Linked DNA regions of Macaca fascicularis. The protein of the gene in region 2 interacts with the protein of the main gene of each other region in a pairwise test. Links are inferred from orthologs where the notes say so. Each region holds a gene or a part of one and is shown on either strand. Other genes may lie near its edges. The genes, in order: TRMT61B, FAM9B, LYRM2, TUFM, CCDC106, CHRAC1 and RUSC1.

Evidence for each region.
Region 1: the proteins of FAM9B (region 2) and TRMT61B interact in binary tests that used the Homo sapiens proteins (3 or more experiments, as listed by UniProt). The two-hybrid records come from large-scale screens. The link is inferred for Macaca fascicularis from reciprocal best matches to the Homo sapiens genes FAM9B and TRMT61B.
Region 3: the proteins of FAM9B (region 2) and LYRM2 interact in binary tests that used the Homo sapiens proteins (3 or more experiments, as listed by UniProt). The two-hybrid records come from large-scale screens. The link is inferred for Macaca fascicularis from reciprocal best matches to the Homo sapiens genes FAM9B and LYRM2.
Region 4: the proteins of FAM9B (region 2) and TUFM interact in binary tests that used the Homo sapiens proteins (3 or more experiments, as listed by UniProt). The two-hybrid records come from large-scale screens. The link is inferred for Macaca fascicularis from reciprocal best matches to the Homo sapiens genes FAM9B and TUFM.
Region 5: the proteins of FAM9B (region 2) and CCDC106 interact in binary tests that used the Homo sapiens proteins (3 or more experiments, as listed by UniProt). The two-hybrid records come from large-scale screens. The link is inferred for Macaca fascicularis from reciprocal best matches to the Homo sapiens genes FAM9B and CCDC106.
Region 6: the proteins of FAM9B (region 2) and CHRAC1 interact in binary tests that used the Homo sapiens proteins (3 or more experiments, as listed by UniProt). The two-hybrid records come from large-scale screens. The link is inferred for Macaca fascicularis from reciprocal best matches to the Homo sapiens genes FAM9B and CHRAC1.
Region 7: the proteins of FAM9B (region 2) and RUSC1 interact in binary tests that used the Homo sapiens proteins (3 or more experiments, as listed by UniProt). The two-hybrid records come from large-scale screens. The link is inferred for Macaca fascicularis from reciprocal best matches to the Homo sapiens genes FAM9B and RUSC1.

Annotation. Positions count from the first base shown.
Region 1 is NC_088387.1:93,349,334-93,353,473, forward strand, and holds the start of TRMT61B (tRNA (adenine(58)-N(1))-methyltransferase, mitochondrial), read left to right. Parts: upstream 1-1,340; 5' UTR 1,341-1,350; coding exon 1,351-2,049; exon of another isoform or gene 2,050-2,068; intron 2,069-2,661; coding exon of another isoform or gene 2,662-2,691; exon of another isoform or gene 2,692-2,813; intron 2,814-4,140.
Region 2 is NC_088395.1:8,685,657-8,689,801, reverse strand, and holds the start of FAM9B (protein FAM9B), read left to right. Parts: upstream 1-1,345; 5' UTR 1,346-1,630; intron 1,631-2,387; 5' UTR 2,388-2,476; coding exon 2,477-2,504; intron 2,505-3,006; coding exon 3,007-3,127; intron 3,128-3,306; coding exon 3,307-3,338; intron 3,339-4,145. UniProt on the Homo sapiens protein: May play a role in meiosis.
Region 3 is NC_088378.1:85,747,372-85,751,445, forward strand, and holds the start of LYRM2 (LYR motif-containing protein 2), read left to right. Parts: upstream 1-1,274; 5' UTR 1,275-1,300; coding exon of another isoform or gene 1,301-1,345; 5' UTR 1,346-1,477; coding exon 1,478-1,615; intron 1,616-2,129; coding exon 2,130-2,270; intron 2,271-2,637; coding exon 2,638-2,718; 3' UTR 2,719-4,074. UniProt on the Homo sapiens protein: Involved in efficient integration of the N-module into mitochondrial respiratory chain complex I.
Region 4 is NC_088394.1:27,625,553-27,629,510, forward strand, and holds the start of TUFM (elongation factor Tu, mitochondrial), read left to right. Parts: upstream 1-1,158; 5' UTR 1,159-1,237; coding exon 1,238-1,289; intron 1,290-1,401; coding exon 1,402-1,596; intron 1,597-1,906; coding exon 1,907-2,073; intron 2,074-2,331; coding exon 2,332-2,436; intron 2,437-2,524; coding exon 2,525-2,689; intron 2,690-2,835; coding exon 2,836-2,968; intron 2,969-3,052; coding exon 3,053-3,157; intron 3,158-3,285; coding exon 3,286-3,437; intron 3,438-3,532; coding exon 3,533-3,652; intron 3,653-3,958. UniProt on the Homo sapiens protein: GTP hydrolase that promotes the GTP-dependent binding of aminoacyl-tRNA to the A-site of ribosomes during protein biosynthesis. Also plays a role in the regulation of autophagy and innate immunity.
Region 5 is NC_088393.1:63,605,755-63,608,671, forward strand, and holds the end of CCDC106 (coiled-coil domain-containing protein 106), read left to right. Parts: intron 1-779; coding exon 780-992; intron 993-1,661; coding exon 1,662-1,978; 3' UTR 1,979-2,417; downstream 2,418-2,917. UniProt on the Homo sapiens protein: Promotes the degradation of p53/TP53 protein and inhibits its transactivity.
Region 6 is NC_088382.1:150,110,869-150,114,927, forward strand, and holds the start of CHRAC1 (chromatin accessibility complex protein 1), read left to right. Parts: upstream 1-1,259; 5' UTR 1,260-1,300; coding exon 1,301-1,447; intron 1,448-4,059. UniProt on the Homo sapiens protein: Forms a complex with DNA polymerase epsilon subunit POLE3 and binds naked DNA, which is then incorporated into chromatin, aided by the nucleosome remodeling activity of ISWI/SNF2H and ACF1.
Region 7 is NC_088375.1:105,801,481-105,805,509, reverse strand, and holds the start of RUSC1 (AP-4 complex accessory subunit RUSC1), read left to right. Parts: upstream 1-1,229; 5' UTR 1,230-1,300; exon of another isoform or gene 1,301-1,994; 5' UTR 1,995-2,080; coding exon 2,081-3,446; intron 3,447-3,717; coding exon 3,718-4,029. Other genes in the region: FDPS (farnesyl pyrophosphate synthase), read left to right, coding at 78-212, 704-904. UniProt on the Homo sapiens protein: Associates with the adapter-like complex 4 (AP-4) and may therefore play a role in vesicular trafficking of proteins at the trans-Golgi network. Signaling adapter which plays a role in neuronal differentiation.

The DNA.
Region 1 (4,140 bases), on a different chromosome or scaffold from region 2:
CCTTGTGATCCCCCCGCCTCAGCCTCCCAATGTGCTGGTATTACAGGCGTGCACCATCGCGCCCGACTAATTTTTTTTCCCTGAGAGGAGTTTTGCTCTGTCGCCCAGGCTGGAGTGCATTGCAGGGATCTAAGCTCACCGCAACCTCTGCCTCCCGAGTTCAAGAGATTCTCCTGCCTCAGCCTCCCGAGTAGCTGGGATTACAGGTGCGTGCCACCACGCCCAGCTAATTTTTGTATTTTTAGTAGAGACGGGGTTTCACCGTGTTGACCAGGCTGGTCCCGAACTCCTGACTTCAAATGAGCCGCTTGCCTCGGCTTCCCAAAATGCGGGTAGGCTAGTGATATTTAACGTTAGATAACTTTGGCCTCCAAAGATACCTGTTTCCATTTTAAGACACTTCTATTTAGTTTTGGGAGGGTAAACTAGTTATATTTTAATAATGAAAACATCTGTTACATAAGCACATAGTGAGTACTCTAATCGACCTTCTCGGACTCTCCGGGCGTGAGGGGTGGGTGAGGGGACCGGCAGGCTGTCACAGCCCCTTCAAAAGGGACTTGGGGCTGGGAGATGTCGCAGTCAACTGGGAAAGGAGAGCCAATCAGCAACTGGAGCGTCCCACGCCGTTTGTCAAATGCATCTCCGGATTAGCTCTACTCATACGTATATCTTGGGGGTGACTAGGTGATGTCCGTGTTCAAGACACTAGCGTGCTAAGCCTGGCATTTCAGTTTGCACAGCGCTGTAAGTTTTGTCTCAATCTTCCTGACCGCCAGCGAACCTGGAGGACGTCTGTTAGCGGTAAATTTATTTATTTATTTATTTATTTTGAGACGGAGTTTCCCCTTGTTGCCCGGGCTGGAGTCTAACTGCGCGATCTCGGCTCACCGCAACCTCTGCCTCCCAGGTTCACGCGATTCTCCTGCCTCGGCCTCTCTAGTAGCTGGGATTACAGGCATGTGCCACCACGCCTGCCTAATTTTGTATTTTTAGTAGAGACGTGGTTTCTCCAGTTGGTCAGACTGGTCTCGAACTCCCGACCTCAGGTGATCCGCCCGCCTTGGCCTCCCAAAGTGCTGGGATTACAGGCTTGAGCCACCGCGCCCGGCCAGCGGTAAATTATTTACCCACATTCCGAAAAGGAAAACGGGCGCCCGCGCGCAAGGACATACTCCTTGATGGTCACTCAACCAGAACGTCGCTGCTCCGGCGCCACTGCTCGACCTAGCGCACCGCCCCCTCCCCGACGCGGGCGCCGTCGGGCTGCTGCGCCATGCGCGCGACAGGGAAAGGAAGGGTCGCGCTAGGTTGCGTCACTCGTCTGCGACGGCGCCTGCGCAAAACACCATGCTGATGGCAAGGTGCAGCGGTCCTGTCTTGCTCTGCGTGCGGCAGGGACTCGGAACCAATTCATTCTTGCGCGGCCTAGGGCAAGAGCCCTTCGAAGGAGCTCAGTCACTGTGTTGCAGGTCCTCGCCTAGAGACCTGCGAGACGGAGAAAGAGAGCACGAGGCGGCACAAAGGAAAGCCCCAGGAGCAGAGTCTTGCCCATCTCTCCCTCTGAGCATCTCGGACATTGGGACCGGATGTCTTTCGTCACTGGAAAACCTCAGACTGCCTACTCCGCGGGAAGAGTCATCCCCTCGAGAGCGCGAGGACTCGAGTGGAGACCAGGGCCGGTGCGGTCCGGCACACCAGATATCCGAGGATCCTTCGATGCTCTCGCAGGCCCAGTCTGCTACCGAGATCGAAGAGCCTCACGTCTCCCCTTCTTGTTCAACTTCCAGACAGAGACCCTTTCAGGTTGGGGAACTGATTTTAGCTGAGACTGAGAAGAGAGAAACACAATTTAAGAAATTATTTAGATTGAACAAAGTTGGACTCTTAAATAGTAGCTGGGGGGCAGTCCCGTTCAGCAAGATCGTGGGCAAGTTTCCCGGCCAGATACTGAGGAGTTCCTTGGGTAAGCAGTTCACGCTGAGGAGGCCAGCATTGGAAGACTATGTATTATTGATGAAAAGAGGGACTGCCATAACAGTCCCAAAGGTAATGTGATGGAGATAAGGTGTGTATTGTTTCCAGGAGGAGCAAAGACAGATGCAGTACTCAGTCCTGATTAATGTACTCAAAGCATATCTCAGAACGTTTGGATTTTTTATTGTACTCAGGCTTTTAAGATAAACCAATGGATATAACTTTTACATATCATGATGAAAATTAGCATTAGGAAACGCCCAGATTTTAATTTTAACTTGGGAGTCTCGATTCCCCTTTTTTTAAAATGTGGATAATATTTCAACTTTCTGTTAGGGTGATGTGAACTCATTAGGTACATAGTAAGTACTAATTTTGTTCCCCATTACTCTTAAGTTTACAACTTCAGGACTCAAGAGAATGTTGAACTCTTAGGGAACAATTTTTTAGTACTACTATGATGATATTTTAATAATATTTAATAATCATGTTACAAGAGTATATTTTATCAACAGTAGATACATTATGGTGCTTTTTCCTTTAGGGAAGAAATAGAGTTTTATGTTAAAATAGCTAACATTCAACACCAAACATAAAATGACGTCTTTATTAAAAAGTTAACTGCCTAAAGCCTAGTTTCAGTTTTTGTTTTTGTTTTTGTTTTTGTTTTTTTTTTTGAGACAGGTTCTCACCGTGTCATTCAGGCTGGAGTGAAATGTTGCGATCTTGGCTCACTGCAACCTCTGCCTCCCAGGTTCAAGCGATTCTCCCACCACAGCCCCCTGAGTACCTGGGACTACAGGCATGTGCCACCACCCCGGGCTAATTTTTGTAGAGACGGGGGCGGGGCGGGGGGCGGCAGGGGTTTCACCTTTTTGCCCAGGCTGGTCTTCAACTCCTGGCCTCAAGTGATCCGCCCACCTCTGCCTCCCAGTGCTGGGATTACAGGCGGGAGCCACCGCGCCCAGCCCTAGTTTGAAGTTTATGCTAATCATCTATTGCTAGCAGATTATTTCAATCCTTAGTCACAGTCACAGTCCTTGAGTAGAATGTTCCTGTGTAACACAACTCCTCCTTTCTCCAGATCAGGATTCGTTCATTATTTATTCAGCAAATGATTGACTGCCTTACATACTCAAGGCACTATTTAGGGAAGTATAGTGTTGAACTGCAGTCCTCACTCTCAACATAGACCTTACATTCTAGAAGGGGTGACAAAGAACAAACAAGTAAATGAAAGAATAAGGTCATTTCCAGTAGTATTAAGTGTCATGAAGACAAATACATTAACAATGACATTGGGGTGACCTGGGGTACGAGCATACTTTATGTCAGGTGAGTAGAGATGGTCTCCAAGGAGGTACACTTGATAGGAAACCTAAATAAGGAAGAGCTTGCCTTGTAAAGATCTAGGATAAGAATTGTTCTTGCAAAGGGAGGAATACTGCAGAGTTTCTGTTGTGGCCTCTGGGTCAGATGAGGGTCCCTCTATGAGGTGTGGTTTGAGTATTTTATTCCATTTGTAGTGAAGGACCATTAGAAGTTTCTGAGTAGGAATCCAGTCTGTATTTTAAATGGTCTACCCAGGGACTAAGAAAACTTTCCTCAGAAGCTTAGGCTACTGAGGTATAATAAGCTTTTTTTTTAAAGACAGGGTCTTGCTATATCACCCAGGCTAAAGTGCAGTGGCTCAATCACCTCTTACTGTAGCCTCAACCTCCCGGGCTCCAACAATTCTCACACCTCAACCTCCTGAGTAGCTGGGACCACAGGTGTATGCCACTATAGCTAATCAAAAAAAAAATTTTTTTTTTAGTGTTGGGGTCACCCTAACTTGCCCAGACTGGTCTCAAACTTCTCTAGGCTCAAGGGATCCTCCCTTGAGGGTGCCGGGATTACAGGTGAGAATGACCGCTCCTGGCCATGGTATCGTAAGCTCTTGAAGAAAACTAAAGACTTTTGTAATTTTATCTTGCTTCCCCATGTCTCCTTTCTCCCCATTAGACAAAATGAAGAAAGATTAGTTACATTTCATGAAGTTATAAATAGGCATCCTTAGTGTACTTTCTGCCTTTCCATTTGTTACAGATATAAGTCACATTGTTCTACTCTAAGGAGGAATTTAAGTACTAAATTTGTTAGGTGTTGACTTCTCTTTATAGC
Region 2 (4,145 bases):
GACATGTATTTTTTGTATCATTTTGTTTTAGCTCCATTCTTACATACAGCATATACTTAGATTTTTATTTTGATCCAAGTTGGAAGTCATTTCCTTTAGATTCTGAGTTTATCTCATTCATATTTCTTGCTCAACAGATTCACTTGGCCTTAATTTTGTTCCTTTATGTTATGGTCTCTGGAGTATTTTCTTTATTTTCCAACTTTTACTACAGGATTTGTGTTCTTTGTGTGTGCTCTTTTTGGTTATATAGACATTTAAGGCTGTGGATTAGTTTTCCTGATGACTGCCTTTGTAATTTCTTTTCTTTTCTTTTTTTTTGAGGTGGAGTCTCGCTCTGTCGCCAGGGTTTCACCGTGTTAGTCAGGATGGTCTCGATCTCCTGACCTTGTGATCTGCCCGTCTCAGCCTCCCAAAGTGCTGGGATATAATTTCAATAATATAATGAAACTCTATATCTTGATTTACAAACTTTAGGCAATATTTATTTACTCCTAACTCCAAAACAACTCTCCCCCTATTATAGGCGACTGGAGGTGGGAAAAAGCTGAGTTAACGATAAGTATTAAGGCATTAATTTGTGGGTGAAGGTTGTGGCATATGTCTGGATAAGTCTGGAGCATGAGGGTTTGTGGGCAAGTCTGGGGCATGAGGATGAGAAAGAAAAGTAGTGAGGAAACAAAAATGGTTATGGGCAGGGCACGGTGGCTCATGCCTGTAATCCTAGCACTTTGGGAGGCCAAGGCGTGCAGATCAACTGAGGTCAGGAGTTTGACACCAGCCTGGACAACATGGTGAAACCTCGTCTCTACTAAAAAAAAAAAAAAAATTAGCAGGGCTTGGTGTTGGGCTCCTGTAATTCCAGCTCCTTGGGAGGCTGAGGCAGGAGAATCACTTGAACCCGGGAAGCGGAGGTTGCAGTGAGCTGAGATCACCCTGCTGCACTCCAGCCTAGGCGATAGAGTGAGACACAGTCTCAAAAACAAACAAAAACAATAAAAGCACAATCCATTGATTGAAAAGGATGCAGCTGGGCATGTTGGAAGCACACAGGGCATGGGAGGGAGCCTGGGCCCAACCCATAGGATGATGGCCATTCTAGCCAAAGGGGCAGGGGTGGCTGGAAAGAGCCCCAGGGCGAGGTTCTAGGCCCTGTCCACTTGGCCTCCATACCAAGTCCTGTGTCCCTCCCCAGGAGCAGAAGCTGAAAGAATGTGGGAACAGAGGCCCCAAAGGGCCAACCCCACCTCAGTCCACAGCAACCACTTGCTGTCACTTAGGGGAAGGGGGAGGGCGTGCCAGCAGGGGGCGTGGCCCCACACGGCCTGTCACACGCATGTGCACTGAGTCGACCAATCTGCGAGGAGCGTAGGAAGTGCTGTCGGCAGCTCTCACGAGAACTGAGTACTTGTTTTCTTTTTTGTTTTTTGTTTTTTGTTTTTTGAGACAGTCTGGCTCTTGCCGCCCAGGCTGCAGTGCAGCCGCGCGATCTGGGCTCACTGCAACTTCCGCCTCCCGGGGTCAAGCAATCATTCTGCCTCAGCCTCCTGAGAGGACCCGTTTTCTAAGAGATCCTAGTGGTGCTGTTGTCTGCAGGTTCTTTGAGGGCGCCACATCAGGGGTCCCTCAGGTGAAGCGCTCGCGGTGGGGAGGCGGAAACGCAGGCACGAGGCCCTCTGGGAACCAGGGTGTGAAGCGCTGGGCCGCCCGCTGACCTGTGAGGAAATGCCCCTGGCGTGGTCGCCTGGGGCCTGGGTCAGGGCGAGGCCCTGAGGGTGGGCTGGGGTGGGCCAGGGCAGGGAGGGAGCTGGAGCCGCCTGGGTGATCCCTAGGGCCCAGGAGGGCTTGTGCATGTGTTGGGGGGAGGTGCGGAAGGTGGGGGGAAGTGGGGGTGGGGCGAGGGTGTTGTTGGGGACAGTCTGAGTGGGGCCCTCCTGCCCGGCCTCCCGTCAGGACAGGACACTTGGGGTCATCAGGGGTCCCCTGTGCATCCAGGCGGGTGAGTGACAGTGCAGCCCCTGACATTCCTCTGGAGGTGGCTGGGGAGATCCTGTGTCACCCGGTGGCCCTCCCAGCCACACGGGGTCGCTGGGGGACCCAGAGGTAGGGCTGAGTTCTGTCCCAAAGGTGCGGCGAGGATCCCGCAGACGCCGTGGAGTTCAGGTGTGAGGGGCAGCTGTGAGCTCTGCAGCCAGCCCCGGGGACGGGCTGGACGGGCTGGACGGGCCAGGACAGGAGGGGACACTGGCATCTTTTCGGTCCCCTCCTGCTCCCACAGGAGGCCCAGGGCGTGCCAGCCCCACCCTTCTTAAACCTGTGATCCCAATGGCTTTCCTTTCCGATGCCAGGGTTCCTTTGCTTCCTTAGTGTGCCTTTGCCCTCATCAGGTTCAGGGATCACCTGTAGCTTCCCAGGACAGCCAGCCACGGATCCTGTGGGCAGGAGGGCTGCCAAGGCCCAGTTGGAGGCTCAATTTATGGCGGCCCAGGGGAAGGAGCGTGCAGGTAAATACAGCCCAAGGTGACCCGGAAGAAAGTGCACGCCCAAGAGGACGGTCTGTCTGCTTTCTGCGCTGGGGGCACAGGGGTAGCCCAAGGACCCGGGCCCCTTCGTGGCTTTGGAGTCCATCGTGCACGTGCTAAGATGCCCCAGGTTTTCAAAGCAGGCTCAAGGGCCTTAGGCTTCCCGTAAAAGGCTCCCCTCATAGCGGGGTTACAGATGCTCCCAGAGCAGCTCTTCTCCATGAGTGCAGTCATGACATCCAAGGGGTCTGACGTGTAGTACGTTGTTTACTGGGACTTGAACCCGAAGGGCTTCCAAAAGTGCCTTGATAAAATGGTCAGAAGCCGGTGATTCCATGTACAGCTCTGCTTTAAAGCCTTAATTGGCAGATAGCCAAAAAAAAAAAAAAAAAAAAAAAGTCTACAACTAGTACATTTCTCCACAAAAAAAGTCCACAACAGTGTCTTCCTCTAAAAAAGGTTTGTCTTTTAAATTTTAATGCAGGAAAGGATCCAGTCAGTGACGAATGTGAGGAAAGAAACCCTTTTACAGAAACAAGGGAGGAAGATGTAACTGATGAGCATGGGGAAAGAGAACCTTTTGCTGAAAAAGACGAGCACACGGGGTAAAGTGTTTAAGTCACTTTTGCCTGTCGGATAGGGTCTTTTAGGAAAAGTCACCTTTGGACCATGTCATCACTGTTCTATTCTGTGCAGAACATTTCACATAAGACATTTCTTTTCCCAACAAACATGGCATTTTGTGTAGTATTATGCTAAAATTTTGATGTAACTTTTTTTACAGGGCTAATACCAAGAAGCCAGAAGATACTGCAGGTATATTTTAGGAGTTATCTGTCGTTTATGAAAATTGTTTTCAATCATGCAACTGTTGCAGTAAGTTATATGAATCAGTGGATGACAAGACTGTCTTAAATGGCTTATCATATGTAGCATTTAACATACGTATTTAATGTAATCTGTTTGATAAATTTTTCTTACCTCTTTGATTGTTGATGTGGAATGTGAGAATGCTTCTAATAATGGTGAAGCGAGATGGATGGCTTTTCTTTCATACACGTGGAAATTTAATTGTTTGGAGAATATTAGAGGACATTGGAGGAGAAATAGCTCTATTCGTTCCTTTTAGTGTACGCAGATTAAGTCATATATCAGGTTTTTTTTAAGCTTTCACTTTAAGTTTGGGGGTACATGTGCAGGTGTGTTATATAGATAAATTGCATGTCACAGGGTTTTGGTATACAGATTATTTTGTCACCCAGGTTATAAGCATAGTACCTGATGGGTGGTTTTTGATCCTCACCCTCCTCCTACCCTCCACTCTCAAGTAGGCCCAGTTGTCTGTTGGTCCCTTCTTCCTGTCCATATGTACTCAGAGTTTTTAATAAGAGTTTTTCATGTTCTTAATTTAGCTATTCTATTGTCACAGCTTTCTGATTTTGTTTTATTTGAAGTACAAGAGAAAATTGAATTCTCTAAAATCATTTTCTATTATTATTCCAGTAATAAACTGTGTAGTACAAAAGTAAGGACAACTTTTCTATCTAGTGAGAAACATGTAATTGGATCCAAAAACTCATAAACTTTATATTGCTGTGTGAAATATTAGTTGCACTGTTATAG
Region 3 (4,074 bases), on a different chromosome or scaffold from region 2:
AAATCAGTATAATTTTAAAAGGCAAGGGGTATTTAACTTCACTCCTTTTAAAAAGTTAGTTAACTATTACAGCTAATGTATTAGACAAAATTTGATATATATATTATTGATAAGATGGTCATGCAGTTAGCATCATTCATACAATGCCTGGTAAAGTTCAAAAGAACCAATGATTAGAGTTCTTACATGTGCCAGGACCTGTTCTCAGTACATTAGAGATACACAACTGAGGTAGATGCTGTATTTCATTTTACAGGGGAGGTAACAGGCCAGGAGAGGGGAAATAGCCAGAACATAGCTAGGAATAGGGAGCCCCAGGATGCCAACAGGCGAGGCAGGCAAGTCCCCAGTAAACTAAAAATTGAATGAAATTTTTGGTTTTATTTTAATTCGATACAACACTACTTGGAAAATTAATATAGCAAAGATTCGCTAACTCCACTTCTGGTGATTTAACCTGAAGGTGTGTGGTGTGTATTGTGGGAAAGATAAAACAGCTATGAGGAAATAAAAGCAAAAGCCTGAGGCTTAGGGATGTTAGGCTCCTCGTTATTAGTGATGAAAGTGCTTAAGACTGCAGTGGAGCAGCCATTCAGAAGCTTTGTTTCAAAGGATCATGAAGACCACCGCTCCCGGAAAACGCTTGCGCTACAAAAGAACAGGACGAAAACGAGAGAGAAAAAACCAACAAAAATTGTAAAAGAAATCAACACTTTCAATTTTAGTATTTTCAACTATACACATTTTTAAAGGCTCGAAAGAACATTCAAATACGTTTTCACCTCTTTCCCCCAAAAAAACCTTAACTTTTTTTTTTTTTTTTTTTTTTCCCGAGACAGGGTCTCGCTCTCGCCCAGGCTGGAGTGCAGTGGTGCGATCTCGGCTCACTGCAACCTCCACTTCCCGGGTTCAAGCGATTCTCCCGCCTCAGCATCCCGGGGAGCTGGGATTACAGGCACCTTACAGGCCTCTCAAAGGTCTTGGGACTGCAGGCAAGAGCCACTGCGCGGCCTCCTTCACTTTCATTTGAACACTCTTTACCAAGAACTGTGCTAAGTGTCCTACCTTTCTTTCGTTATCGCAACGACCCTATGGTGCACTGCTATCCTATTTTACCGACGAGAAAACCGGCCAGCGCAGCCCATAACCAGCTCCTAACCCTAGGGCTCAGTCCCGAAGTCTCGCGCTCAGTCAGAGCGCAACCCCGGGCCGTCTCCTAGGAAACCGGGCTCGCCACACCCCTTGGTTGGACTCCACTTCCGCTTCTGCGCGCTGAGGCTCCGGCAGATCTCTGGCTGACATGGCTGCCTCCCGCTTACCCCCAGCGACGCTAACGTTAAAGCAGGTACCGGCGGTTCTCTGCCTTCCAGAGCAGCTTACCTGGGTCTGAGCTTCTGGATTCTCCATCTCTCCCTCCACCCAACGGGGCGGGTTCCGGGGTCCTGACGCGCCGTGCGCGCCCTCTGAGATTGGCCCGATGCCTGCGGGGCGGTGCTTCGCTTCGCGGGGCCTGACGGGAGGCACGGGCGGCTTGCTTGGTTTGGTGCGGTCGCGTGAGACGCGTCAGGTGCTTGATTTCCCGGAGTCCCGGTGCATCAGCTGCTCAGTGCCCACGGTAAAGACTACTCTCTATTGCACTGAGCTGTAGCAAACGGCAAATGAGATTACCAAAGATTTGAACAACTGTTAATTTAGAAAAAGTGCTGTCGTTGTAATAACAACTTCTAGGAGACTGGCAGCCCTTTTCATCCCGGTAGTCAGCTGATTTTTTAATGGTTCTTAGATTTGACAGAGCAGTAAGCAGAAAGATCAGATGAACCTCGTGATGCTTTCTTTAAAACATCTTTTTGAGACAGGGCCTCACTCTCGTGCAGGCTGAGTGCAGTGGCACAATGAGGGCTTACCTCAGCTTAGACCTCCTGGGCTCAAGTGGTCCTCCCATCTTGGCCTCGAAACTGCTGGGATTACAGGCCTGAGCCACTGCACCTGGCGGAAAAAGAAAAAAGTTTTTCTTTGCCTTTTTCAAAATTGACCAACGAGGACTCTGGTTGCAGCTCGGTTTGCTGAAGTAGAACTTTTCAGGCTGGCGATTGTGCAGAAGTAATTGCTATTGCTCCTCCCTTTTACAGTTCATAAGAAGGCAACAAGTTCTTCTCCTCTACAGAAGGATTTTGCAAACAATTCGGCAAGTTCCAAATGATTCTGATCGCAAATACCTGAAGGATTGGGCAAGGGAAGAATTCAAAAGAAACAAAAGTGCCACCGAAGAGGTGAGAACAAAATCATGGCGAGGACAGATCCTAACCCTTTTTATTGATCAGTGAATTTTTTTTTTTTAAGTTTAGCAGACATCTTGGAATATAGTGCCACTGAGTTGGTATATCTTGATCATTGCTTGTAATGTTACCGATTTTAAATGATGTTTTAAAATTTAATATTGCTGTATCGACACTCTTCAGCATTATCACGACTTTTATGTTGTACGTTTTATGTGTATGTATGTGGAAATCTTTCGTCTTTTCTAAAAGACAGCAGTTCAAATACGTACTATTGGTTGTTGATTTTAACAAAAAAACGGTATAGCTATACCTTGTTTAACCAGGTAAAACAATAACCAGATTTCACTTTATTCTACAGGATACAATCCGGATGATGATTACTCAAGGCAATATGCAGCTCAAGGAGTTAGAAAAATCACTTGCTTTAGCAAAATCTTAACTATAGCATTATTCTGAAGGATTTTCAAAGTCTCCATGTGTTTCGTTGCATTTAGGATTAACAATGGACAACACAAAGCCCAGTCTTTCTATTTGTATGTACAGTATTTGGTGATAGACAGCAAAGGAAAACACATCAAAACAGTTGCCTTAACACTGAAAAACATACCCTGCATTTTGAAAATGTTTATGGATGTCTCAGCAGTTTTTAAAAGAAGAAAAAACCACTAACAAATGGCCAGTAGATGCTGGACACAATCATTAGGGAAGTATAAATCAAAACTACTAGGAGGCTGAGTACAGTGGCTCACGCTTATAATCCCAGTACTTTAGGAGGCTGAGGTAGGTGGATCACTTGAGGTCAGGAGTTCAAGACCAGCCTGGCCAACATGGTGAAACCTCATCTCTACTAAAAATACAACAATTAGCTTGGCGTGGTGGTGCATGCCTGTAGTCCCAGCTACTTGGGAGGCTGAGGCAGGAGAATCACTTGAACCCAGGAAGTGCAGGTTGCAGTGAGCTGAGATCGTGCCACTGCACTTCAGCCTGGGTGACAGAGTGAGACTCTCCAAAAAAAAAAAAAAAAAAAAACCTGAAATTCACATTCACTAGAATGGCTGTAATTAAAAAGAGAAATAATAGTAAGTGTTGGTGAAGATGTACAGAAATTAGAGAACCCTCATACATTGCTGGTGGGAATGAATGTAAAATGGTGTAGCCACTTCAGAAAACAGACTGTCAGTTCCTCAAAACATGAAACAGCTGCTGTATGATTTAGCCATTCTACTCCTATGCCCATAGCTATTATTTGGCACTAAAAAGAAACAAATGACTTATATATGTTAAACTATGCTAAACATGGATAAACCTTGAAAACGTTAAGTGAAAGAAGCCAGTCACAAAAGATCACATGATGATTCCATTCATATGAAATGTCCAGAATAGGCAGGAAGATTAGTGGTTGCCTAGGCTTGCTGTAGATGAAATGGAGTAACTGCTAATGGGTGTAGGGTTCCTTTTCAGGGTGATGAAAATATACTACAGTTAGCTTGTGGTGTAGGCTGCACAACTCTGAATACACTCAAATCCACTGAATTGTACATTTTAAATGTAAGGTATGAGTTGTATCTCAATAAAGCTGTTATTAAAAAAAAAAATACTCTGAGGCGTAGGACTGAAAGTATACTGACACCAGGAGATACCCTGGAACTTTCCCGAAAAATCCTGCATTATCCCTGAGGGTTGTTCAGATACGTTCTTCACATGTGTCATAGTTTGGTAGAGGACTCATCAAAAAGATCACCACTGGGCATCTAGATCTTTGCTGGAAAGAGAAGAGAAAGAGAAGCTTAATGAG
Region 4 (3,958 bases), on a different chromosome or scaffold from region 2:
GGAAGGGTGTTTGTTACATAGCTTCCCAGTCCGTGCATAGACCCGACGGAATCATATCTCCAGGGAAGGAATTAGGGAATCTTTGCAACACTGTCCACTGAGTCTCAGGATCTGATGAGTTCCGAAACATAAATCAGGGTTAAGCAACCACAATTAACACTTCGGAGTGCCATGTGGAAGCTGCCATAAGATGATGGATGTGGAAGTTAAGGGACATTGACTACCCTTGCACTCATTAATTCAACGTTCACTGCATGCTCCACCCTGTTAGGTGCTGGGGCCACAGACAGAATAAAGGAGACTCAGGCTGCCCTTAAAGACTCCCCTAGCTGGCTCCTCATCCTTGGCTCCTCATCTGCAAAATTAGATGGGTGGCGCGATGCCCAAAGGAATTGCTCCTTAGGCTGCTGAGGGGCTACAGGGTTGGGCAGCGAAGCTGTCTGTCTTGTGGGCTCTGGCCCTGTGAGGTCTAGCAGTACAAGGTCCCAGCAAGCTGCCTGACCTCACGGGGCCCAACCCTGACTCCTACCCAGTTAATCTCCTCTCAGGGCCAGAGGTCAGGCTCTCCCTATGAAGTGGATCCTACTATTCCCATTTTACAGATTAGAAAACAAAGCCTCAGCGGAGAGAGAGGTCACACTTCACCCCATCCCCGAAAGGCGTCCAGGACCTGGTCCCCTACCTCCAGCTACGGCAGAAGGGGCCAGATATCTCGCAAGACCCGGGTAGCGAGTCGGACTCCAGACGACTCGGGGTCTCTCTCTGCCGGGCCCAGCTGGTTCCTGAGCAGTCGGAGCCGCAGCTGCCTCCCCGAGCCCGAGTCCCTCCCTCCGGGTCCGGCCTAGCCCGCCTGACTCCCATGCTGAGCACCTCCACAGCCCGTCGCCCTGACAACTAGTACGCCCATGAGCCTTCGCGGCGCCGGTGCTTTAGGGGACGCTCCCCAGTGCCCCCCGCGACCGACAGAGAGAACTACGTTGCCCCTCAGCCCGTGAGGCCCGAGTGGTGGAAACCCTCTCCATCATTCTCCGCCCCCGAGACACCAGCCCCCTCCATGACGTCTTCAACCGCGCGCCCGACGTCGGCGGAGACGGCCATAGACACTGGCGGCTAGAGGGGCCCGGACTTGCCCTCCCAGTCCTTACTTCCGTCGGAAGTGCCTTCCTGCCGCAGGCGCCCTTTCTCTGCTGCACGCTCGGGCTCCTGGGCCCCGTTCCCCGGTTCCTGGGGCGCGAGTATGACCACAATGGCGGCAGCCACCCTGCTGCGCGCGACGCCCCACTTCAGCGGTGAGGAGTCGGGGAGGGCGATGGCGGCCCAGGAACACTTTGGGGGTGTGGTAGGTGGCTGGGTTCGGTCTGACCCCTGCCCTGCCTGACTTCCAAGCTTCGGTCCCGGCAGGTCTCGCCACCGGCCGGACCTTCCTGCTGCAGGGTCTGTTGCGGCCGCTGAAGACTCCGGCATTGCCTCTCTTGTGCCGCGGCCTGGCCGTGGAGGCCAAGAAGACTTACGTGCGCGACAAGCCACATGTGAATGTGGGTACCATCGGCCATGTGGACCACGGCAAGACCACGCTGACTGCAGCCATCACGAAGAGTGAGTGGGGTTGGGGCGTCCAGTAGCGCCTTATCTACTGATGGGACCTGGAGCCAGGGGGGCAAGGCTAGCAGAGTGTCTGCTGGAGGTGTTTACTGTGGCTCCAAGAGCAGAGGCTGTACCCCAAAGAAGTCACAGGGCAGACCCTAAAGGCCCCCTAACATTCTTTCTGACCCACAGTTATCTCTGCTGGAAGAGTTAGAGATTGGAGGAGGTTATGTATTTAGGTGGGAGGGCTCAGGGGCGTGGTCTAAGCTCTGCCTCTAGCACTGCAACTTTAGCTGAGAGGTGTGTTCTCTTTCTCCTTTAGTTCTAGCCGAGGGAGGTGGGGCTAAATTCAAGAAGTATGAGGAGATTGACAATGCCCCGGAGGAGCGAGCTCGGGGTATCACCATCAATGCGGCCCATGTGGAGTATAGCACTGCCGCCCGCCACTACGCCCACACAGACTGCCCGGGTCATGCAGATTATGTTAAGGTGAGGGTTGCTGGGACACTGGAGACAGGGCCAGAAGCTGCCTCTTGTCAGGATAAATGTTAGGCTTGTGGGGAGGAGATTAAAATATTCAGTGTTTGGATATGAGATGGCAGGTTTGTGGCCATGGCCACTCAGAATGGGTGGTGAGGAGATGATAGAGAAAGGTGGGCCTGAGATTCTAACTGCTACACTTGCCTATATGGATGTGGACTGAAAAGCTCGTTGAACTTGGCTGTTTCCTCTCCTCCTCCTCCCCAGAATATGATCACAGGCACTGCACCCCTCGACGGCTGCATCCTGGTTGTAGCAGCCAATGATGGCCCCATGCCCCAGACCCGAGAGCACTTATTACTGGCCAGACAGGTACTCAGAGCCTGGGTAAAGGTGCAGAGGGGAAGAGTGGGGAGTTGGGCCCCTCTGGATACTGTCCCTGTCTCTCTGCTGTCTACAGATTGGGGTGGAGCATGTGGTGGTGTATGTGAACAAGGCTGATGCTGTCCAGGACTCTGAGATGGTGGAGCTGGTGGAGCTGGAGATCCGGGAGCTGCTCACCGAGTTTGGCTATAAAGGGGAGGCGACCCCAGTCATCGTAGGCTCTGCTCTCTGTGCCCTTGAGGTGAAGGCCGGGTCAGGCAGGGTGGCTGCTGCAGAGGGTGGGGCTAGATGGGCACCCAGAGCTCTGCTTTGTGTCTGGGAAGTGGCTCTTGATAATCGAGGGGAGTAGAATGGGGATTTCAGAGTCCTGTTGCTTCCCCTCAACAGGGTCGGGACCCTGAATTAGGCCTGAAGTCTGTGCAGAAGCTACTGGATGCTGTGGACACTTACATCCCAGTGCCCACCCGGGACCTGGAGAAGCCTTTCCTGCTGCCTGTAGAGGGGGTGTTCTCCGTCCCTGGTGAGGACTCTGCCTGTTCCCACGCACTCTCTCTAGCAGCAGCCTAGCTCGGGGTCCCTGATGTCCTGTCTTATTCCCTCTCAGGCCGTGGCACTGTGGTGACAGGTACGCTAGAGCGTGGCATTTTAAAGAAGGGAGACGAGTGTGAGCTCCTAGGACACAGCAAGAACATCCGCACTGTGGTGACAGGTACGGGAAGCCAGCCTGGGGACCAGGGGCTGACTGCAGGATGGCCTTACCCCGGCAGATCCCTTGTACCTTCCCTCCATCTTACACTCGCCTTCCTTCTCCCCACTCCTTTTCCCCTTTCCTCCTAGGCATTGAGATGTTCCACAAGAACCTGGAGAGGGCCGAGGCCGGAGATAACCTCGGGGCCCTGGTTCGAGGCTTGAAGCGGGAGGACTTGCGGCGGGGCCTGGTCATGGTCAAGCCGGGTTCCATCAAGCCCCACCAGAAGGTGGAGGCCCAGGTGAGGGCTCCAGGTGACGGTGGGCAGGGCTGAGCCAAGCTGTCCCCAGCATTCCAGCCGAGCCCATCTCACCCTCATTGTTCACTCTCCTCCAGGTTTACATCCTCAGCAAGGAGGAAGGTGGCCGCCACAAGCCCTTTGTGTCCCACTTCATGCCTATCATGTTCTCCCTGACTTGGGACATGGCCTGTCGGGTTATCCTGCCCCCAGAGAAGGTACGGTGGGTGGGAGAAATGTAGGGTGGAGGGAGCACTTTTTATATCACCTTTGCTTCACTCATAGTTCCAAAGACACACTGTGACAACCCAAGTGACTTTATTTCCTTAGGTGGAAAGGGGCTGCTTGTCGCTGCTAGCCAACAGAAGGGGCATGGCCCATGGACTTAGGGGCGGGAGTCCTCATCCAGCGTGCCCTAAGCTGAAGCAGGTTAAAAGCTTAGCTCTGCCAGCATGTACCCACAGAAAGATTTCCTAGAAAAAGTCTCTTCTTTCTGAGAGTTTCACTATGTATGAAAGCTTAGG
Region 5 (2,917 bases), on a different chromosome or scaffold from region 2:
CTCAAAAACTCCCACATCTCTCTTTGTGAATTCAACCTTTTCCCTCAAAAACTTGGGCAAGGGGCCTATGGTCTCGTGGTGTCTGTTACTGGGAACCCAGCATCTGGGGATCTGGCCTTCCCTCTGCTCTGGAACAAACCGCCTCTGACTGCCCTTGCCTGCCACTGTCTCCTCCCACTGATGGCTCCATGCTGGGTGACTGACTCCTTTGCACAGATGGTTTGGTCCTGCGGCCTCGGCACTTTCCCAGTGGGGACCCTGGCACCAGACCCCTCTCCTAAGCCGCCTTCTAGAGGACCCTGTGTCTGGGCCTCCGCCAGCCAGCTCCCTCTGTCTAGATGGAGGTGGAACTCATCCTGCTGGACCCAGGACCCCTGATTTCTCTCAGGGTCTGACCCCCCGACTCCAGCCAAGGCCTGGCCTGCCTCCTGGGTTTACAGAGGCCACTCTCCGGAGGTCCCACCCAGTCCCCAGAAATCTCTCCCTCCCCTGTGGGAACCGCATATACTCACAGGGGTCCTGAGGTCCCTGGTCGGCTGCCTCCCCAAGACCTCTTGCCAACCCAAGCCTCTGAGAAAATGCTGCACCCATTACTACCTCCCACAGACCCCAGCAGGCTCTACTCAGCCACCAGCATCTCTACTGTCCTCCCTGTCCGTTTCTTCAGGGGACCAGCCCAGGTTGGGGGATCCAGTACTGGGGACTGCAGCCTCTCTCAGTCCCAGGACCTGTGATGGGATGTCTGGTCCCATAGTTCACGTGTGTGTCTCTCTCCCCAGAGGACCACTGCCGGATGAAGCCTGGGCCCAGGCGGATGGAGGGGGACAGCCGGGGTGGGGCTGGGGGCGAGGCCTCGGACCCTGAGTCAGCAGCCTCCTCCCTCAGTGGAGCCTCCGAAGAAGGCAGCGCCAGCGAGAGGAGGCGGCAGAAGCAGAGGGGAGGTGCTAGTCGGAGGCGCTTTGGGAAGCCCAAGGCCCGGGAGAGGCAGCGAGGTGGGTGAGGTGCATGGCGCGGGCGCTGAGGGGCCTGGGCTGCTGAATTGCTGTGTGTCCTTCCCAGAGGCCCTCCTTTCTCTCCAAGCCCCTCCAGCTTTGCTGGAGAAAGACCCACCGGGTTCTGTCTCTCCCTCCTCCCTTGTAATCCTGGGATTACAAGGCGTGAGCCATAGCGCCTGGCCTGTCCTGGGTCTACTTTAAGTTTTGGTGAACCCTCGAGGGCAGGGCCACCTTGGGCACCTCCTTAACCTTCATCGGTAAGAAGGAGGTGCGCAGTAGGACCTACCTCGGGGCGGGTGAGGCTTGAATAAGTGAATTCACCTGAGGCAGGGAGGTGAGGGTGATGGCTGGGCGTGGTGGAGAGGCGGGCGGGGGGGGCGGTGTTGTTGCTGGGACCGCGTTGGTTGAACCCGGCCTCTCGGCTCATGTTCTCTCCTCACCCCCCTTCCTGGGCCTGCCTCTTCCCATTTCCCACTGGTCCAAGTACTGGCTGCGCTTCTTCCCCTCCTCTCCGCCCCTCCCTTCCCTGTTCTCCGTATCCTCCTGCACCGCCAGTGCCTCTGCTCGCCGGGATCCTTCCTTCCCATGGCCGTTTCCCTTCCCGTGTCCGCCCCCTCGGTCTTGGCCCCTGCTCCTCACTTCCGTGTCCCCGCCTCCGCCCCGCAGTGAAGGACGCCGACGGGGTCCTCTGCCGGTACAAGAAGATCCTGGGCACCTTCCAGAAGCTCAAGAGCATGTCGCGGGCCTTCGAGCACCACCGCGTGGACAGGAACACCGTGGCGCTGACCACGCCCATCGCCGAGCTGCTCATTGTGGCCCCCGAGAAGCTGGCCGAGGTGGGCGAGTTCGACCCCTCCAAGGAGCGCCTGCTCGAGTACTCCCGTCGCTGCTTTCTGGCCCTGGACGACGAGACGCTCAAGAAGGTGCAGGCGCTCAAGAAGAGCAAGCTGCTGCTGCCCATCACCTACCGCTTCAAGCGGTGATCGCACCACGCCTCCGCGCCTCCGCCCGGGCCTTCCTCCCCCGCCGACCCCGGCCCTCCCCAGGCCCCCGGTGGATGACCTGCGCCTCTCCCTGCCGCGCCCCTGCCCCTCCTCCTCACTCCCTGGGTTGGGGGCTCCCTTAGCCCGGCCCCCAAGCGCGACGGCCCAGGGCCGGCCGCAGCCCCTTCCCGAACGCCGGCATCCCCTTCCGCTTGGGCTGCCCAGCCCTGTCCTCGCCGGACCCCTTCCTCCTGGAAATCAACCAGGCAGGAGGGTGCCGCCCCCCTCTCGGGTGGGGGACTGTATAGACCCCGTCTCCGCCCCAGCCCCGCGGAGGAGCTGCCCACCTGATTCCCGGACAGACCTCCCCAACTCCGCGCGAGACAGAGAATTATTCAGAGAATTTAAATTAAAAAACGACGTGAAAATTTGGAATAAACTGGGCCTCAGCCTTTTCCTAGGAGGGGGACGTGCCTGGGAGGGGGAGGCCGTCGCCCCGACGACGGTGATGGGGTTGCTGGGGCTTCCAAGGGGGTGGGCGGTCAGGCGGGAGGCCGGGTAGGACAGGGTGTAATTAGCCCCCCGGAGGCAGAGACGGAGAAACAGCTGTGCCCCTGAAATCTTGGAGGCAGAGCTCTGGAAAAGAAGCGCGGACACAGCCGGGTGCGGTGGCTCACGCCTGTAATCCCAGCGCTTTGGGAGGCCGAGGCAGGCGGATCACGAGTTCAGGAGATCGAGACCGTCCTGGCTAACACAGTGAAACCCTATCTCTACTAAAAATACAAAAAATTAGCCAGGTGTCCCAGCTACTCGGGAGGCTGAGGCAGGAAAATCGCTTGAACCCAGCAGGCGGAGGTTCCAGTGAGCCGAGATCTGGCCACTGCACTCTAGCCTGGGCGATAGAGTCTCCGTCGCAAAAAAAAAAAAAAAAAAAAAGTA
Region 6 (4,059 bases), on a different chromosome or scaffold from region 2:
GCTGCTGTCCCCTTGGTACCGCCGGCCTCCTGAGGGCCAAGTTCCTGGGTTCTCGTAATCATCTTCTACCTGGTCTCTGTGACTCCGCCCTTAAGCGCACCCACCCCCTCCCAGCCCGCAGCTGCAGGGATCCTTTAAAAACTGCCCGGGCCGGGCGCGGTGGCTCAAGCCTGTAATCCCAGCACTTTGGGAGGCTGAGACGGGCGGATCATGAGGTCAGGAGATCGAGACCATCCTGGCTAACCCAGTGAAACCCCGTCTCTACTAAAAAATACAAAAAATTAGCCGGGCGTGTTGGCGGGCGCCTGTAGTCCCAGCCACGCGGGAGGCTGAGGCAGGAGAATGGCGTGAACCCGGGAGGCGGAGCTTGCACTGAGCTGAGATCCGGCCACTGCACTCCAGCCTGGGCGACGCAGCGAGACTCCGTCTCAAAAAAAAAAAAAAACTGCCCGGGACTCCTTTGCTCAAACCCTACCACGACTTCCCATTTTTTTTTTTAGATAAAAAAAAAAAACCAACAGGACCTAGCCCCGGGCTGCCTGTCAGACCTCAGCGAGCACGCCAGGCTCTGCACACCGTCTCTCGGAGCAGCCCCGAAGAGGCTGTTCCCACCAGGCTCTAGGACCTCCTCCGGGCAGCTCCCCGCCCTTCACCCCCAATGAAGGCGCCTCTCCCCATCACCCCGCAGCGCAGAGCGGTGCAGCAAGCCCGGCCCCGCCGCATGGCCCGTGCTGGTCTCTGCTCTTCCACCGGCCGCGTGGCTACCGGCGCAGGACGCATCTGCTGCCGCTTGGTCGCCCCCCCAGAAATTTGTGCTTCAGGAAAGCGTCACTTTTGCCCACGGCGGCACGCCCGGTCCTAGCACAGCGCAGGCCCTTAACACACAGCACCGAGCGACGAGGCCCGGACTCAGAGGGTTTTGCTTGCCCATTCGCAGAGCCCTCACCCGGATCAAAATCGTAGTCCGCGATCGCAGCTCGGAGACTCCCGAGAAGTGCGCGCCCCCGCAGCGCCCCGACCCCCGCCCCTCACTAGACTCTGGACTCCTGGCTCCACATCAGGTCACACACTCGGTTGGGGGGGAGGAGCCGAAGGGCGGCGCATGCGCAGATGGGGCGCGCGAGGCATCACGGAGCTCGTAGTCTCCCGGACGGGCCGCTCCAGGCCTCGCGGCGGCGCCTCCCCACACTACAACTCCCACGGGGCAGCGGGCGCGGCTCCCCGCACCCACCGGCTGGCCGGCAAGGCAGCCACTTAGCAGTCGGGCCCGCCGGCTGCCGCCCGCGCGAGGGGCGGGAAGATGGCGGACGTGGTCGTGGGCAAAGACAAGTGCGGGGAGCAGCGGCTCATCTCGCTGCCTCTATCCCGCATCCGGGTCATCATGAAGAGCTCCCCCGAGGTGTCCAGCATCAACCAGGAGGCGTTGGTGCTCACAGCCAAGGCCACGGTGAGGGGGTAGGGCGGGGGTGTGAGCCGCCCTTACCCGTCGCGCCCCGCCCCGCCGGGCTCCGGGCACTGCCCATTCCCCTTGGGCCCGCGCGCCGCCGGCTGCCCTTGCTGGGCTCGCGCGCGCCCCGCTGTCCCCGTCCCACGCCGGCGCGCGCCACGGTGCCCCCGCGCCCCTACACTTTCTCGCGCGTCTTCGCCCCGCCCACCCCGCGCCGCTCCCTCCGGTTCCCGAGTTTTTTCGCCCCGCCTACCGCGCGCCTCTCCCGCCCTTTCTCTCCTTCCTTCGCTCCGCCCGCCCCTCCCTTCCTTGTGCACCTTCGCCCCTCCCACCCCACTGTCCTCCCGCCATTTCTCGCGCGCTTCCGTCCGGCAAACCTGTAAACTCCCGCGTTCCTCTGCGTGCCTTTCGTCCCGCCTACCTGTACGCTCCCGTCCTCCCTCGCGTGCGGCTCGCAGTTTCCGGCTCTACCCGTGGGCGTCGGTGTCGAGTGGCGCTTTTCTCGTTAGGTTTTTTTGGGGGCTTTTTCGCCCGAGATTCCCACTCCCGGCGTTCCTTTTCTCGTCACTGGCCTGCTTCGTGCTTTGGGGACCCTGACTCCTCCAATGTCCCGTGGGAGGTGCAGCCAGGCGCTTCACCCGCCACTCGAGGCTTTTTTCCCCGTAGGTGCGGTGCCAGCTCCAGCGGTCCGAGGCTTTCGAGCCCACCCGCCCGCCACACCTGGCCCCTCGTCTTAAGAGGCAGCACATACCGCAACCAGAATTTAAGGAAGTCCAGGGAACTTAGTTTTACAGCCTGTTTAGCATCCTCTTGGGTGCAAAATAGTTAATTTTGTCTTTTTTTAAGAAATTGCGTCTTGATAGTGTTAGGCCAGATGTTTTCCTGTTCTGAAACTGGGCCATGTTTCAGCTACACAGTTAAATGCTTTGGCTTGCCTTGGATTCCATTTTCCAGTCCCTACTTGTAGTTAAGTATATGATGTTCCGACAGTATTGGACTAGAACTAAGGGAAGTGGGAAATTACAGGTTTCTTGCCCGCTTTATATCAGAGCCATGTTTTCCTAGAGCCCAGGGAAATAATTGCATATTCAGCAATTATTGCACCTACGCCACAAACAGCCAGAGGGAAAGTGACCCTGGGGTCATCTGGGGGCATTTGTGTTTTCCTGTACAGTTTCATTCTGTTGGTATTAAGGAATGAGGATTTATGCAGGCACTTCTGATCCCTTATTTTCTGAGATGGAGTTGCCCAGGCTGGAGTGCAGTGGCGTGATCTCGGCTCACTGCAACCTCTGCCTCCCGGGTTCAAGTGATTCTCCTGCCTCAGCCTCCTGAGTAGCTGGGATTACAGGTGCTTGCCATCACACTTGGCTAATTTTTGTACTTTTTGGTAGAGACAGGGTTTCACCATGTTGCCCAAGTTGGTCTTGAACTCCTGACCTCTCGTGATCCGTCTGCCTCAGCCTCCCAAACTGCTGGGATTACAGGCCACCATGCCTGTCTTTCTCATCCCTTATTAACTGAACTAGATGCATTAAAGTCAAAACCTTGAGAAAGGCTCAGTTCAGCCTCTGTAAAAATGAAGACTTGGGCCTGCTATAAGAACTGGGGTGCAGGAGGGAGAAGATGATCAGTTCCGGTTGTTGCATTAGGTCTGAGGATTGTACGTTAGTTTCTAGAATAGAAAAGTTTCGGCAAAATGTGAGTTGTGGTCACTATAGTTGTAGGTGAACCACCTTAGAAACAGTGTATGCAAATAGAAGACTAAAAATGTATTACTGAGCCAAATAGAATTTTTGAATGGCTTTTTGCTTCTTTTCTTTCTTTTTTGAGACAGTCTCGCTCTGTCTCCCAGGCTGGAGTGCAGTGGCGCGATCTCGGCTCACTGCAAGCTCCGCCTCCCGGGTTCACGCCATTCTCCTGCCTCAGCCTACCCAGTAGGTGGGACTACGGGCGTCCGCCACCATGCCCAGCTAATTTTGATTTCGTATTTTTAGTAGAGACGGGGTTTCACCGTGTTAGCCAGGATGGTCTCGATTTCCTGACCTTGTGATCCACCCGCCTCGGCCTCCCAAAGTGCTGGGATTACAGGTGTGAGCCAGCACTGCTGGCCGCTTCTTTTTTTACTCTAGAGGTTGGCCATTAAACAGTTATGATTAATCTTTTTCATAAGTTAGACATCTAAAGCCTCTGGAAAATGCCTGCTTCTCTGCCAGTTTTGATACCGGCTTTGCTTTCTTTCTGACCTCATGTTTTTCTTTTCCCCAGTGATTGATTTCTTTCTTTTCTTTTTTTTTTTTTTTTGAGACGGAGTCTCGCCCAGGCTAGAGTGCTGCAACCTCCAACCTCCACTTCCCAGGTTCAAGCGATTCTCCTGCCTCAGCCTCTCAAGTGGCTGGGATTACAGGCACCTGCCACCATGCCCAGCTAATTTTTTATTTTTAATAGAGATGGGGTTTCACCATGTTGGCCAGTGTGATCTCAAACTCCTGACCTCAACTGATCCGACTGCCTCAGCCTTCCAAAGTGTTGAGCCACCACACCCGGCCTCCGCAGTGATTTCTTGTAATTTAAGAAACCAAGATAATCTGAAGTCTTAATGTAATTTTAAG
Region 7 (4,029 bases), on a different chromosome or scaffold from region 2:
ACAGGCACCAGCTTCACTCCTCCTCTGCCTAGGAACCTCATCCTTCCTCCTTTGCTGCCCTCCCCCTTCCCGCCCAGGATGACTACCTTGACCTCTTTGGGGACCCCAGTGTGACCGGCAAAGTTGGCACTGACATCCAGGACAACAAATGCAGCTGGCTGGTGGTTCAGTGTCTGCAACGGGCCACTCCGGAACAGTACCAGATCCTGAAGGTGCCTGAGAGAGGGTGGTGGGTCCCTGAGCTGGTGGAAAGGGATAGAGTAGTGGTTCTCAATTGGAGGCAGTTTTTCTCCCGAGGGGACATTTGGCAATGTCAGCAGACATTTTTTGTCATCGTCATCACAACTCTGTGTGTGTGCATGTGGTACAGCCATCTAGCTGGCAGGAGCCAAAGATGTTGCCAAACATGTAGCACACAGAACAGCTCCCCCAGACAGGATTATCTGGCCCCAAATTTCAATAGTGCCAAGGCTGAGAAACCCTGGAGTAGAGGACACCTGGTCTGAGGCAATATGTAGGGAATATTTGGGATAGGGAAGGGAAGCTTGGGATCCTAGCTACCTAGAAACACTTGAAAATTGGAGGGAGGAAAGGAGTGGGTGGCTTTGGAGATGTTCTGAAATATGAGAATGAGGGGAGTGGAGGGGTCCTGGAGGCTCTGGGGAAGGCCAAGCCCGTTTTCCTGTCTTCCAACCCCTTTTAGGAAAATTACGGGCAGAAGGAGGCTGAGAAAGTGGCCCGGGTGAAGGCACTATATGAGGAGCTGGATCTGCAGGCTGTGTTCTTGCAATATGAGGAGGACAGTTACAGCCACATTATGGCTCTCATTGAACAGTACGCAGCGCCCCTGCCCCCAGCCATCTTTCTGGGGCTTGCGCGCAAAATCTACAAGCGGAAAAAGTGACCTAGAGATTGCAAGGGTGGGGAGAGGAGGCTCTCAATAAATAATTGTGTAACCTTTTTGTGGTTCTGTTCTTGCTCGGCGCAGCCAGAGTCTGGCTCTTTCCAGAATGTGCGGGGTGGGGTGCTGGGAGGACTCGCTGCACAGAAGCGGGACCCAGGGGCCTTGGCATCAGGGCCAAAAGCTTGGGATACATCAAACCCGCTAGGTGGGTGACACAAGACGCTAAGCGCTGGGGGCGGGTCTGAGCTACGCCACGCCCATGCGCGAAGGGGTGCAGATGCGCTGCGCAGAGTGGGTTGTGCTAGTGCCCCTCCCCTCCCGCTCTGTGCCCCGCCGGGCGGGGACCGTGGGAGCCGAGGACAAGCCCAAGGCCGGAGCGGTTCCAGGAGGACCCTGGTGAGGAGGGCTCGGCCCATGGGTGTAGACCGATGGACCAGGGCACGAGGGGCGGGGCAGGACAAGGGAGCAGGAGAAATGAATAGAGAAGGGGTGCGGTGGTGACTGAACGATGGAGACGAATGCGGAGAGAATGGACATAACGCTGTTCTGAGGGGCGAGGGCGCAGGCTGGAGCCCGGCGGAGGCAGCCAGCAGATGTGGAGTTGACGAGCTGACGGCTGCTCCATCCTTTTCCTCTCCAGCTCCTACCCCTTTCCTGCATTCACCAGGCAAACTCTGCATATCGACCCACCCCCATCCCCCGCCTCCTTTCAGGGCATCTGGGTGGGTCTCCCTGGGTCCCTTCCTGTGGGAGTAAGGGGTAGGCAGGAGGGCAGGGCCAGATTGCGGCAGCAGGGACCCGGAGGTCCATTCTGGGCCCGGACCTGTTCCGGGCCCCCGCCCCCCTTCGGAAATCCAGAGCGCAGCCGCGTTCTCTGACCCTCCCGGCTCCATTCCCGGAGGGTTACATTCGACTCCACCTGCAAACACTGCAGTGGAAACTAATGGCCAGTCGATTGCGATTTGCATCTCATTGAAATATCTTCCAAAGCAGCCAGAGCCTTCAGGCCTGCTGCTGCCGTCAGTCACCTCAGTGTCCTTCCCGCAGCTCCTGTCCTCACTGGCTGGGCTTCGCCACCCCTGTCTTCTAGGTCTGCACCTGTGGTTGCCAGGTAGGTGGATGTGAGAGACCCTACCCTCCTGGTTCTCTAGAAGCCATCCCATCGCCGCTGGCACCATGCTGTCTCCTCAGAGAGCTTTACTCTGCAACCTCAATCACATCCATCTCCAGCACGTCTCCCTGGGCCTGCACTTGTCCCGCCGTCCTGAGCTACGGGAAGGGCCCTTGAGCACATCCCCTCCCCCAGGAGACACTGGGGGCAAGGAGAGCAGGGGCCCCTGCAGTGGCACCCTGGTGGACGCCAATTCCAACAGCCCAGCTGTGCCCTGCCGGTGCTGCCAGGAGCACGGTCCGGGCCTAGAAAACCGGCAGGACCCATCACAGGAGGAAGAGGGGGCTGCCTCTCCCTCAGACCCAGGCTGCTCTTCCTCGCTCAGCTCCTGCTCAGATCTTAGCCCCGATGAGTCCCCCGTCTCAGTCTACTTGCGGGACCTCCCTGGTGATGAGGATGCCCACCCTCAGCCCAGTATCATCCCCCTGGAGCAAGGTTCCCCACTGGCTTCAGCAGGCCCTGGCACCTGCTCACCGGACAGCTTCTGCTGCTCTCCTGATTCCTGCTCCGGAGCTTCTTCTTCACCCGATCCTGGCCTGGACTCGAACTGCAACGCCCTGACCACCTGCCAGGACCTCCCTTCCCCAGGCTTGGAGGAAGAGGATGAGAGCGCGGAGCAGGATCTCCCTACCTCTGAGCTCTTAGAGGCGGATGATGGGAAAATCGACACTGGGAAAACGGAGCCCAGTTGGAAGATTAACCCAATTTGGAAAATTGACACAGAGAAAACTAAAGCTGAATGGAAAACCACGGAAAACAGTAACACTGGTTGGAAAAACAACGGGAATGTTAACTCTAGCTGGAAAAATGAACCTGAAAAATTCGACTCTGGTTGGAAAACCAACACAAGAATAACTGATTCTGGCTCGAAAACAGATGCAGGGAAAATTGATGGAGGATGGAGAAGTGACGTCAGCGAGGAGCCGGTGCCCCACCGGACAATCACGTCCTTCCACGAGCTGGCCCAGAAGCGCAAGCGGGGCCCAGGGCTGCCCCTCGTCCCGCAGGCCAAGAAAGATCGCAGTGACTGGCTCATAGTCTTCTCGCCCGACACCGAGCTGCCCCCCTCGGGGTCGCTGGGCGGCTCCTCGGCACCTCCTCGGGAAGTCACCACCTTCAAGGAACTCCGGTCCCGAAGCCGGGCCCCACCCCCGCCAGTCCCGCCTCGAGACCCCCCAGCTGGCTGGGCTTTGGTCCCGCCCCGGCCCCCACCCCCGCCTGTCCCTCCCCGAAGGAAGAAGAACCGACCTGGACTGCAGCCCATAGCGGAGGGGCAGTCCGAGGAGGGCCGGGCTGTCAGCCCAGCGGCTGGCGAGGAGGCCCCAGCCGCGAAGGAGCCGGGAGAGCCGGGCGCGCAGGCCGGCCTGGAGGGTAAGAGGTCGCAAGAAGCGGGAGGAGGGCTGGGCTTCGGCCGCTCACGCCTCCTAGGCTTCCAACCCGGCCCCCTGTCTTCCCTCCATTCTGTGTCACCCATCCTCCCCGCCCCTTCTACCAGGGAGCGCTCCGGGAAAGGGAAACTGGGTGGGTCATTGGGTTACGGGACTAACTCTTTGCTCCCTCTTCTTCCCGCCCCTCCTTGCCTGGCTGCCCATCCCGCTGCCCTCCTTCCCTCTGCGCCTGGCCCCGCCAATCCCGCCTGCAGCCGGTCCCCTCCTGCTCCCTCGGCCCCTGGTTTTCCGGTTCTCGGCCGACGGGCGCCCCCTGTTGGAGGGTGGGGGCGCAGGCGCAGCTGGGTCTCTGCTCCTGGCTCCTCTGGCCGGGTGGCCTGGCGCCGGGCTGCGGCTGCTGGGGGCGCCGAGCCCCCCAGAGGAGCAGCTGCTGCCCGTCCGCCTGTCCCCAGTGGGAGCCTATTCGCCTCCGACTCGGGGAGCCTTGCCCTGCCTGGCCAGCCCCGAGCTGGCACTGCTGCTGTCCCCGCTCTTTCCCAGAAGTAGCACCTTCCCCGCCGCGGCTC